Rattus norvegicus: one gene and its partner. The protein of the gene in region 2 interacts with the protein of the main gene of each other region in a pairwise test. Links are inferred from orthologs where the notes say so. Each region holds a gene or a part of one and is shown on either strand. Other genes may lie near its edges.

What was found. The genes of interacting proteins can lie anywhere in the genome.
Region 1: the proteins of Get3 (region 2) and Gpx7 interact in binary tests that used the Homo sapiens proteins (3 or more experiments, as listed by UniProt). The two-hybrid records come from large-scale screens. The link is inferred for Rattus norvegicus from reciprocal best matches to the Homo sapiens genes GET3 and GPX7.

What each region holds. Positions count from the first base shown.
Region 1 is NC_086023.1:128,377,914-128,383,528, reverse strand, and holds the start of Gpx7 (glutathione peroxidase 7 precursor), read left to right. Parts: upstream 1-1,803; 5' UTR 1,804-1,861; coding exon 1,862-1,996; intron 1,997-5,615. UniProt on the Homo sapiens protein: It protects esophageal epithelia from hydrogen peroxide-induced oxidative stress. It suppresses acidic bile acid-induced reactive oxygen species (ROS) and protects against oxidative DNA damage and double-strand breaks.
Region 2 is NC_086037.1:40,032,670-40,038,200, forward strand, and holds the start of Get3 (ATPase GET3), read left to right. Parts: upstream 1-2,307; 5' UTR 2,308-2,317; coding exon 2,318-2,478; intron 2,479-3,237; coding exon 3,238-3,385; intron 3,386-5,531. Other genes in the region: Trir (telomerase RNA component interacting RNase), read right to left, coding at 298-633.

The sequences.
Region 1 (5,615 bases), on a different chromosome or scaffold from region 2:
AAAGAAGCCATCTTGGTGGTAGAGAAAGACAGCATATTCTGAAATCTGAGGGCTGGGAGTTCAAATCCTACCATGTCACCTTGTGTACACATCTGGTAGCCTTGTGAGGTGGTACTCACAGCCTTTCCCCAGATGGCCCCTGAAGACTCCCCCAGACTCATCTGCCTCACCCCTTCTTAATTCAAACAGCCAAACCCTCCCCTCAGACTCTGTGCCTTCATAGTCACTGCCCCACCCCAACTCTAAAGCCTTCACTTGCTCAGCCTGCCTGACTTTAACTATCCCATTTCTCTCTCACTACATTCTCTGCTGTGACCATCACTGGGCCTTAAAGCTCCACAGTTTCTTCTTCCTCAGCATCTGCTCTTGCCTTTTCCTGTATAAAGCATCACAGGAAAGCCAGAGGGACCTATCTGCTATAGGTGGGCCTCACTAAGATGCTTAAGCAGCAGAATCAAAAAGCAAAACTTCATTTCTTGGTTTAAAGCTTGTAATTTTTTTAATACAATGTCTCACTATGAAGTCACACACAGTTGGCCTAGTACTATGTACATAGACCAGGTTGACCACTAACTCAGAGATCCGCCTGCCTCTGTCCCCCAGATGCTGAGATTAAAGGCATTGGCTATCATGCCTGGTAAACCTGTAAACTTTATTGTGGCCCACTAGGCCGCCTGACCTCACTCCTACCTCCCCTCCCCAGCCCTCCCCCCGCCTCCCCCCACCCCCAAGCGTTCTTTCCTGTCAGCCAAACTAGCCTTCGTTGCCCAGTGTATCATATTTCACTCTCCCTGGAAACCTCTGCACAAGCTTCCTGCTTTTACCAGAATAATTTCTATTCATTTGTCAGAATTCAGTTCAAACCTCCTTTCATTTGCCCACACACACACCCTCAGCTTTGTTACTGTACTGTGGTACAGTACTTGCTACAACAGCAGTTTTAGAGTTAACTGTGAATTATTTGGTGCCTTATCTCCCTCTGAATAGAAAGCACACATCTTGTTCATCACTGCACAAGAGACACCTAAAGCTGAACTTGGCATAGAACCCGTACCCCAAATGAGTCATACTAAGTCACCACCGGACGCTTGGCCCCTTTATGGGTATCATTGGCAATTTCTGAGCCTGGGAAATGCTGTAGCATGCTGTCCAGGTCTCTTGTCACTAACTTGAGAATCCAGCTGCTAGCCATGTTAGTGTCCACAAAGCCTTTAACTGTCAGCTGCTCCAGATACGGGGCCTTCTTGGCTCCTGTTGCATCTCCTGTCAGGAGACACTAATCCAGTGATTGACTAGATAGGCAAGCTCTCCTTAACCCCCCTGCATGGCTGGAATTCAAACCGCATTAGATTCTGGTCTCCCAGACTTGTCTGACTTCTTTCTCCCTTTGGGAGAAACGCTACACCCCTTAACCTAAAGTTTGTACACATCTTTCAGCTATCAAATTGTTTTCCATCACTATCCTGTTACAGTCCAGTACTCCCAATTCTACACTAACTAGGTGTATTCCTGTGAAGAAATTGGGGCTCAGAGTGGTGGAGCGATCTGCCTAAGGTCAGGCACTAGAAGCTAATCCTCACGCAAAGATTTTCTCCTCTATCTCCCTATTAAGTCTCTGCATCTTGAGTTTGAGCTTGAGCGAATTTTGGGCTCAGCCTCAAGAAAACGGGATCCGGCGATCTGAAGCTGACCGGCGGAGCACAGATAGGGAAACTGAGGTCCAGAGCCAGGACTCTGCGCCTGCAGAGGCATCTGCGAAGGGGCGCGTCCTGCCCAGCGGGCCGCCTCTTCCCGCCCCCAACGCTGGGGTCCCGTCTGCCTTGTCTTTGCCCTCGCCAAGTCGCCACCTCGGAAGTGAGCCATGGTTGCGGCTGTGGCGACGGCGTGGCTGCTCCTGTGGGCCGCGGCCTGCACGCAATCCGAGCAAGACTTCTACGACTTCAAGGCGGTGAACATCCGGGGCAAGCTGGTGTCGCTGGAGAAGTACCGCGGCTCGGTGAGTGACGGTCCCTTGCGGGCCTGGCGCAGAGTGGGGAGGGGCTTGCAGGGGGCCCCGGGGCAGGGGTTCAGCCGGATGCTTGTCTTGGGTGTGCCACGGCTCGGACACCACCCCGGGCATCCTGGCTGCGCGATCCGTGCATTCAGCGCTCCCAGGCCTCTTTTTCCACTCAGGCCTGCGGCTACGTGGCACAGCTCAGGAGCTACCCGCTCTGACTGAGCTCGGCAAGGCTCAGGATCCCACCCGGAAGGTGAATGCCCTCCACTCTCCGCTTTGCCTCTCCCAAGAGCCTTTATGGCCTTTTGCCGGTCCAGCCTACGCCTGTAACAGTAGGTCCAATGAGAACGCAGAGAGACAAATGGGCAGTGGAGGGAGTTACCACCTGAAATGGACCCTTTCATGATTCTTAGAATCCACCCTCAGCCCCTGAGAGCGAAGACAGAACATTCGAAAGCAATCCAAGTTGTAAGAGAACCCCACCCACACCCCTCCCATCCTTGAGCCTTCCAAGGCCCACCCCTTAGAGAGCAGTTGTGATGGAGTTGCTAGTGGACCGGCCCTTACTTACCAGACCGAATCACAGTAAGGAGGAAGTGTGTCAGGATTGGGTCTTTTAAATAAGACTTGAGCAAGACAGATCAATCCAGACAAAGAGAGCTGGCCAAGTCCGGACATAGAAGCAAAACAACAAGAAAGGTCAGGGGGACCAGAGATTTCAATAGCCGGTACTTAAAGGATACAAACAGCTAGACTGAACGGTGTTAGATGAGGCTGACTCGGCCAGGGAGCCTTTAAACTATAAAGTTCAGAGACTCTGGTGTTACACTGTGTTGACGAATCCTCTCAAGAGAGGAGCATGGTGGCACACGCCTTTTATCTTTTATCCCAGCAAGCCGGAGGGAGAGAGAGAGAAACTGATGTCTGTGAGTTCAAGGCCAGTTTAGTGTCTGTCTACTTAGGGAGCTCCAGAAAGCCAGGGCTATACAGACTCTATCTCAAAAAAAAAAAAAAAAAGTAATTAAAAAATTTAAAATCCTTCAAAGAATCTTCTGTGTCTTGAGATGGACTTGGAGATCCTGGTGTGAAGACATGGTGTTGGACACTAACGGACATGTGACCCCATCATCCAAATTTGGATGGATCACAAAAGAATGGTTCAGTATGCTTTTCCTGCAAGCAAGGGCATCTTTGGGGACAAAACTATTCTCAATAGCCTTGAAGGTCTCGATGACACTGGGAGTCCTTGCCCTGACCAGTGTGCTATAAATTTCAAGTGAGAATACGGTGTGGAAGCATTAGGCAAGCTTTAGGTGCTCTGTATGGATGGTAGGTCAATGACAACATCCAAAACTCCAGACAAAGAACAGCAAAGAGCAAGGCCATTATTACTAGTCAGGCCTCCCCTTCCCAGAGACCCCCAATTTATCACCTGAGCAGCTCTGACAGCCATTAACTAATTGTTTGTTATTCAGCACCTACTATATACTAGCTAAACACCCACGCCCTGAAGATAAACAGTAGTGATTAAAACAAGTTCATGTTTTAATCAAGTTTGGGGTGGGGAGGACAATAAACAAGGCACTGAAAACTGAACCAGGGAATCCCAATAGCAATGAGAGCTTTAAAAAAGGCCAGTGTATGGTACAGGCCTTTAATCCTAGCGCTTGGGAGCCAGAGGCAGGGAGAACTCTGTGAGTTCCAGGCCAGTCTGGTCTACAGAATAAGTTCCAGAACAGCCAGGGCTCTTACACAAAGAAAACCTGTTTCAAACAAACAAACAAACAAACAGCAAAGAACTTTAAAAATACTAAAAGGTATAGGATACAGAGTTAGCCTGCATACAATTAATCCTAGCACTTGGGTGGCAGAAGCAAGCAGATATCTGAATTCAAAACCAGTCTGGCCAATATAGCAAGTCACAGGCCAGCTCGGGTATGTTAGGTAATGAGCTCTTGTCTCAAAAAGTTAAAATAAATAAAGATAGAGTTAGAGAGCCAGTAAAATCGTGGGTATGCCAAGCCTGAGGTCCTAAACTCAGGACTTATATGGTGAAAGGAGGGAACCACTTTCTGCAAGCCACCCTCTGATCTCCATACATACACACCATGGTGTGGAGGACCACCCTTCCCATTTTGTTTTGTTTTTAAGAGCTAGAGTTAGAATTTAAATCCCGGCAGGACAAGTCTTGGGTCTCTGCCCTTAAGTGCTAAGCTCAGAGAGAAAGCAGGGAGCAGTCAACCCAGGGAAGCTGGTTAACCTAAGCTGGGCCTGCTGCTTGGGCCACACCTTCATCCGTTCACTACTGACCATTCGCTGTCTCCCTACTACACACCTGACACTGGGTGTAAGGAAAAGTGGAAGGGCAGTCACTTGCCCGTGGTTGAGCATGAATGTTGAGGTAGTCACTTCTTGGGAGGGCATATGTATCTACCTATAGGGTGGAATGTATCAGAGAGAGAGAGAGAGAGAGAGAGGGAGAGAGAGAGAGAGAGAGAGAGAGAGAGAGAGAGAGAGGTTTTATTTGCTTCTTTATGTACATCTGAGTCTGTGAAGAGTCTAAGAAGCAAGAGTTCCCCCTTCACAAAGACTAGGGAAACACATGATACAGGATAAAAGGAAGCTTTTTAATGCTTTCAATGAAGGTCAGCAGGATAGAAGGTGGGAGACCCTTAACTGGGGAAGGAGAGAGTTCTAATCTTTTTTTATCACCCCAGGCAGAGTGATAGATCTAATTAGCTCAATGATTCTTATTGTTAGCTAGGTGCTGGTGGCGCACACCTTTAATCTAGCCCCTGGGAGGCAGAAGCAGGTGGATCTCTAGGAGTTTGAGACCAGCCTGCTCTACAAAGTTGGGGGAAAGCCAGGACTACACAAAGAAACTCTGTTTTGGGGATAAAAAAGATCTTTGTTATTACATTTTTGTGTGGGTGTGTGCTCGGGGTGTGTGTGTGTGTGTGTGTGTGTGTGTGTGTGTGTGTGTTTGTGTGTGTGTGTGCATATGTGTGTGTGTGCATGCCTGTTGTTGTGTCATGGTGGAGATTCTGTGGGGCCCTGGGATTGAACTCAGATTGTCAGACTTGGGGGCACATCCTCATCTCTCCAGTGTTTTGTTTTGAGAACGGGATCTCATTATGCAGTGCCTGGCCTGAAACTTGCTATGTAGACCAGGCTGGTCTTGAACTCACAGAGATCCCTTGCCTCTATCTCGTATGCTACATTCAGGGATCAAAGACATGCAACTTTTTTTTTTCTTTTCTTTTAAAGAGACAGTCTTACTGTGTAGTCTCGGCTGAAATTTGAAATTTGAAATTCTGCTGCCTCAGCCCCCTTAGGACTGGAATCACAGATGTGAGCCACAACCCCAGGGGGAAAAATTTTTGGTTGTCAAACCTAGGTATCTAGTGGGTACAGGCTAGGATGTACCAAATAGGATGCCAAATACTCTACGATAAACAGGACAGCTCCCCACAGGGAGACCCATAGTTTTAGTACTGCTGAATCTGAGACCTGAGCAATTTGTGTCCAGAGTTCCAGACTGACCCCGGGAAATGATCTTCATTGGGTAGCCAGGTGATATCATCCCAACTTGTCTCAAAAGCAGCCATGGAGATAGGAC
Region 2 (5,531 bases):
TTCAAAGTCTGGGTACAAATCAAACGGGAATCCTAGCATCTTGGGTCCCCTAACCCCAGAGCGCTGCTTCCAACGCAATTTCCCGGTTCTCAGGTCCCGCGAGTAACATCTAGAGATTCCCATTCCCGCCCAGATACACCTCTCGTCCGGAATCCAGGCTCAAGATTCTCAGCAAACGACCGGGATCGTCCAGGCAGCCGGGCGGAGGACTGCCTTGGATCTGACGCCCCTTCCCGGGCCCGACTCCCCCAGCCAACGCGGGCCCCGGCGCCCGCCCCCACCCCCGCGGCTCCTTACGAAGCTGAACGTGGGGCCTGGGCCGCCCTTCCTCTTCTGATTCCCTGGGCCCGCTGCGGCGGAGGCCGGTTGATCAGGTCGCTGCGGGCCCGGGGGTGGCTCCTCCTGCCGCTGCCGCTGCTCCTCCTCCATCTTCCGCTTGAACAGCTCCAGGAAGCTGCCATCGTTGGCAAACAAGTTCACACCGCTGGACACCGGACTTGAGCCCGACACCTCGTCATCCCCACTCTCGGGTGATGTTCCCGGCCCCGACTCAGCCCATCGGCTCCTGCCGCTGCCCGCCGGGCCGGGCGCCTCCCGACCCGGAGGCTCCGCCCGTCTCCCTCGGGCAGCCATTTTGTGGCCAGATGCCGCGCAAAGGACTTCGGGAAAGGCTCTCACACCGCGCGCTTGGCGCGGGACTGGCTTCGTCTGGAGCAGTGCATGCTGGGAAGGCAGGTCTGAACCCAGAAGCCAACGCAGAGTAGGCGGGGCTTAGGTGGGGCCAAAGGGTTCTGACCTGGGGACCTCAGTCGGTGAATCCCAGAAGCCGGTCCCATTCCTCGGATCCCTAATCCTGCCAGACACGAGTTAGTTAAACAGACAGAAGCTCCCGGAGAATGGGACCATCGTCTGGGACCTGGGCCCCCTCTAAGGGCTGAGAGAGCACATTCCCAGTCGGCCACCAGAACTCTGTAACTAAATGGATCTTGTTTGGGGACTGTTTTCAATTAACCCTTGGGGGGTTGGGGATTTGGCTCAGAGGTAGAGCGCTTGCCTAGCAACCGCAAGGCCCTGGGTTCGGTCCCCAGCTCCGAAAAAAAGAGGAAAAAAAAAAAAAAAGTAGCCGGCCTCTCAATTAACCCTTGGGAACTTGGTTAGTCCTTAACTAGGTCTGCAAAGCATATCTAACTTGGAACCTCCTACTATAAATGGAAGCATCTCCAGGTTGGGCATCTGTCTTTGAATTTAATCTCTTATCTTGAAATAAGAATACCGCTGGCGGGCTGGGGATTTAGCTCAGTGGTAGAGCGCTTACCTAGGAAGCGCAAGGCCCTGGGTTCAGTCCCCAGCTCCGAAAAAAAGAACCAAAAAAAAAAAAAAAAAAAAGAATACCGCTGGCTGCGTACAGCTAGACCCTTCTGCCTAAGATTAGTATTTAGAGCTGGAGCACTAAAATGAAGCCGAAAAATATTTCTAGGCTGAGTCCTTAAGACTTAATGTTTTGAGCCGCGTACTGCATGAAGGAATTAAGGACTCTTGTATTCCTTCCAAGGACAGGTACTCGATTAAAATTGCATTTGCTGAACTTGGAGCACACCCACAGAAAGCAGAGCGCCAACCACAACAAAAGTTTCGGAAATTAAAGTTCTTTCTACAAGGACAACTTGTTGCAGATAATCATTCCTGCCCAACATGGGGGTTCCGGGACAGGGGGAAAAAGTCTGCATACTCTGCAACAAATGGGAGTCTTTATTGCTTTTAATCGACCCTCAGCCAAATAACCAGTTCATTCGTGATTGGCTTGCTGCAGAAACCATGTGGCTCACAACCAACTGAATAACTGCAGGACCGGAAGAGATGCTGAGGTCCAAAACAGAAAGCAAAGGGGAAATGATCAACAGGAAACTGAGCCTATGGAATCAACTTCACGCAGATCTTGGACAGGATGTTTGCCTGGTTGCTAAGGAGAGGCTGACGCCTGCGAGGACTTGAGCGTGACCAGTGGAAGTAAGACAAGATTCAGCCAATGAAAAGAGTGCCGCAAGACTTAGGGTCCAATCAATGAAGGGCAGTAGTGTGGGTCGTACCAATATGTCCACAAGACAGGGGAATTCTTAGAAAACTACAGACAAGAGTTCACAAAGGTGAGCCCTCGGCGCATAAAACGGTGAAAATTTAGCTCTCATTATCCCTAAATGTTAATGCAGGACGAAAATAAGTCAGGCTTCCAGCCTGCACAGGGTTGTAGCAGACTTATTTCCCCTGCAGGTATTTAGCACGTGGTGCGCCCCGATTAGTCACGTGAGCCGGGTCCAAGATGGCGGCGGGGGTGGCCGGGTGGGGGGTTGAAGCAGAAGAGTTCGAGGATGCACCTGACGTGGAGCCACTGGAACCCACGCTTAGCAATATCATCGAGCAGCGTAGCCTTAAGTGGATCTTCGTCGGGGGCAAAGGAGGCGTTGGTAAGACCACCTGCAGGTAAGGAGACTCTAGCGGAGCCAAGAGGACGGGTGGGATGTACCACTGGACGAAGGGGAGGACAGGGACCGGCTTTTTCTTCCCGATCCCGGTAAAGCGAGCTAACCATGGCTCTACGGGGTTGTTTCTCTCCGGAAGTTACTGCAGCCTGCTGAAGATACCTCCTGAATGCAAGCCTAGCATCCTGAGTTGGATTATCCTTCCTTGGGTCTTGTGAATTAAGCGCTTGGGGCGTGCAGAGGAACATTTAAATTCCTCAGTCGGCCGGACAGTACCCCATCCCCGAACCCCAGGGAGTTCAGAGTAGAGGGAGCAAGCTGTCTAGTATAACGAACCTCCATTTGATGCCAGAGAGGGAAGGAGTAAAAGGGGGTGGAAAAGGCACGTGATTATGGTGCCTGAGTCCGTTGAAAGGTGAAGTACATCCTCCTGAACAAGTAGAGGGACAGAGGGAGAGTAGTCTGTGCCTGCTGGACAGCTGGACTGTGCCTTGGAGTGCCAAAAAGAAAAGGCCGAAGCAGGCGATCAACGAGAACCAATCAGTCAACTGAATGTTACCGTCCCATCCAAATCAAAGAGTCAAGTGGTGATCTCTGCAAGGATTAAGTAAGGCTTGATCCCACTGGGACCCACTCATACATTGGTCTTCAGGTCCCTGCTGATCCAGGTTTCTGTGGCGTTGCATATCCTGCTACAAACACCAGTACCAAAACTGGCTCATCCCCCTCCCCCCCCATATTCCCACGTTCTTTTGTGCAGCTGCAGCCTGGCGGTCCAGCTGTCTAAGGGACGGGAGAGTGTTCTCATCATTTCTACAGACCCAGCTCATAACATTTCAGATGCTTTTGATCAGAAGTTCTCCAAGGTGCCTACCAAGGTCAAAGGCTATGACAACCTCTTTGCTATGGTAAGTAAACCTGGCCCCAGTTCTGGCCAAGGTGCCCATAAGGTCTTTCGATTTTGTGTTAGTGATAAGTGTTCTACCCAGAGTGCATTCTTGGTACCCAGGGAGGCCAGATAAGGGCATCAGATCCCCTGGGACTGGAGTTACAGATGGCTGTGAGCCACCATCTGGGTACTGGGAATCCAGCACAGATCCGCTAGAAGAGGAGCCGTTGCTCTTTTTTTTTTTTTTTTGGTTCTTTTTTTCGGAGCTGGGGACTGAACCCAGGGCCTTGTGCTTCCTAGGTAAGCGCTCTACCACTGAGCTAAATCCCCAGCCCCAGGAGCCGTTGCTCTTAACACCGAGACATCTCTCCATCCCCAACCGTGAGGCCTTTTGAGGTACTCTCGTTGAGTACCTACCAGCACCCACCAGGCCAACCGTAGTCTCCATACTCAGCGCTTGGGTGTCAACACTTTCCTCCACATATTCCCAGAGGAACATGTGGAAAGGCAGCCTTTAAGAAGCAGGGAGGAAGGGCTGGAGAGATGGCTCAGCAGTTAAGAGCACCCGACTACTCTTCCAGGGGTCCTGAGTTCAATTCCCAGCAACCACATGGTGGCTCACAACCATCTGTAAAGAGATCCGATGCTTCTGATGTATCTGAAGACAGCTACAATGAACTTATATATAATAAATGAATACATCTTTTTAAAAAAAAAAAAAAAAAAGAAGAAGCAGGGAGGAAGGTGGAAGTGGAACTTCGTGAGCAGGGGAAGGAGAAAGACCAACCAGAGATGCACACCGTGGCTCTGCCAGCTGGGCAAGCAGTTTGTCTTAGAGTCTAAGTTTGATAGATTTTTTTTTTTAAATATACAAAGCTATTCCTTTAATGAATTAGTTTATTTTTAGTTATGCGTGCAGGGACCAGAGGTATCAAGTCTCCCTTGAGATGATGTTCACAGGCAATTGTGAACTCCCACCCATAGGTGGGTACTGGGAACTGAATGAGGGTCCTCTGGAAGATCAGTGCACACTCTTAACTGCTGAGCCATCTCTAGCTACATGCGCATGTCTTGGTTGCTGTTATAATTGTGTTGTGAGTAGTGGTGCTGCTGTTACTGCTTGAGGTGAAGGCCAGGGCATCCAGCATGCTACACAGTGCTAGACTGCGTTCCCAGCTCTCAAGTTTGAAAAGAACTGGGCGTGGTGGCACATACCGTTAATCCCTGCACTAGAGGCAGAGGCAGGTGGATCATTGTAAATCTGAGGCCATTGAAGCTACATAGTAAGACCCTAGCTTTAAAAAAAAAATAGCAAATCAGCTGAGAATAGCGGCACACACCTTTAATCTCAGCATTAGGGAGATGGGGGCAGGAGGATCTCTGAGTTCAAGGCCAGCCTGCTATACAAAGTGAGTTCCAGCACTGCCAGGGCTACACAGAGAAACCCTGTTTCTAAAGACATTTAAAAAGGGGGGTGGGGGGCTGGAGAGATGGCTCAGCGGTTAAGAGCACTCACTGCTCTTCCAGAGGTCATGAGTTCAAATCCCAGCAACCACATGGTGGCTCACAACCATCTCTAGAGATCTGATGCCCTCTTCTGGTGTGTCTGAAGATAGCTACAGTGTACTCATATATAATAAATAAATAAATTTAAGAAAAAGAGAAAAAGAAAAGAGCCACATGTCTGTCATGGGAATTGGATTGCAAATCAAGGGTGGGGTTGGGAAGAGTAACAAAAGGGCTGTGGATGTCCCCAGATCATAATGACACGGTAGTCAAAGGAAAGAATGGTGGGAAAGATGAGTAGTTAGATTTGGGGTATACTTTGGAAGTATATTTTGGAAGCAGTGAAGTTGCCAGGTACCGGCTATCTGTGTGTGTGTGTGTGTGTGTGTGTGTGTGTGTGTCTCTCTCTCTCTCTCTCTCTCTCTCTCTGGGGGGGGGTTGGGTGTGTGTGTACTGTGCTGTGTTGTACTGCACACACCATGCCCATGTGACACTGTGAACGTCAGAGGACATCCCCGGATGTTGGTGCTGGCTCTTCTAGTATTGTTTGAGACAGTCTGTCGTTTGCTGCTGTAAACACTAGGGTAGGTGGCCTGAGAGTTGCCAGGGCTTCTCCTATCTTAACTATAGCAGCCTAGGGATTATAGAATCATGTTACC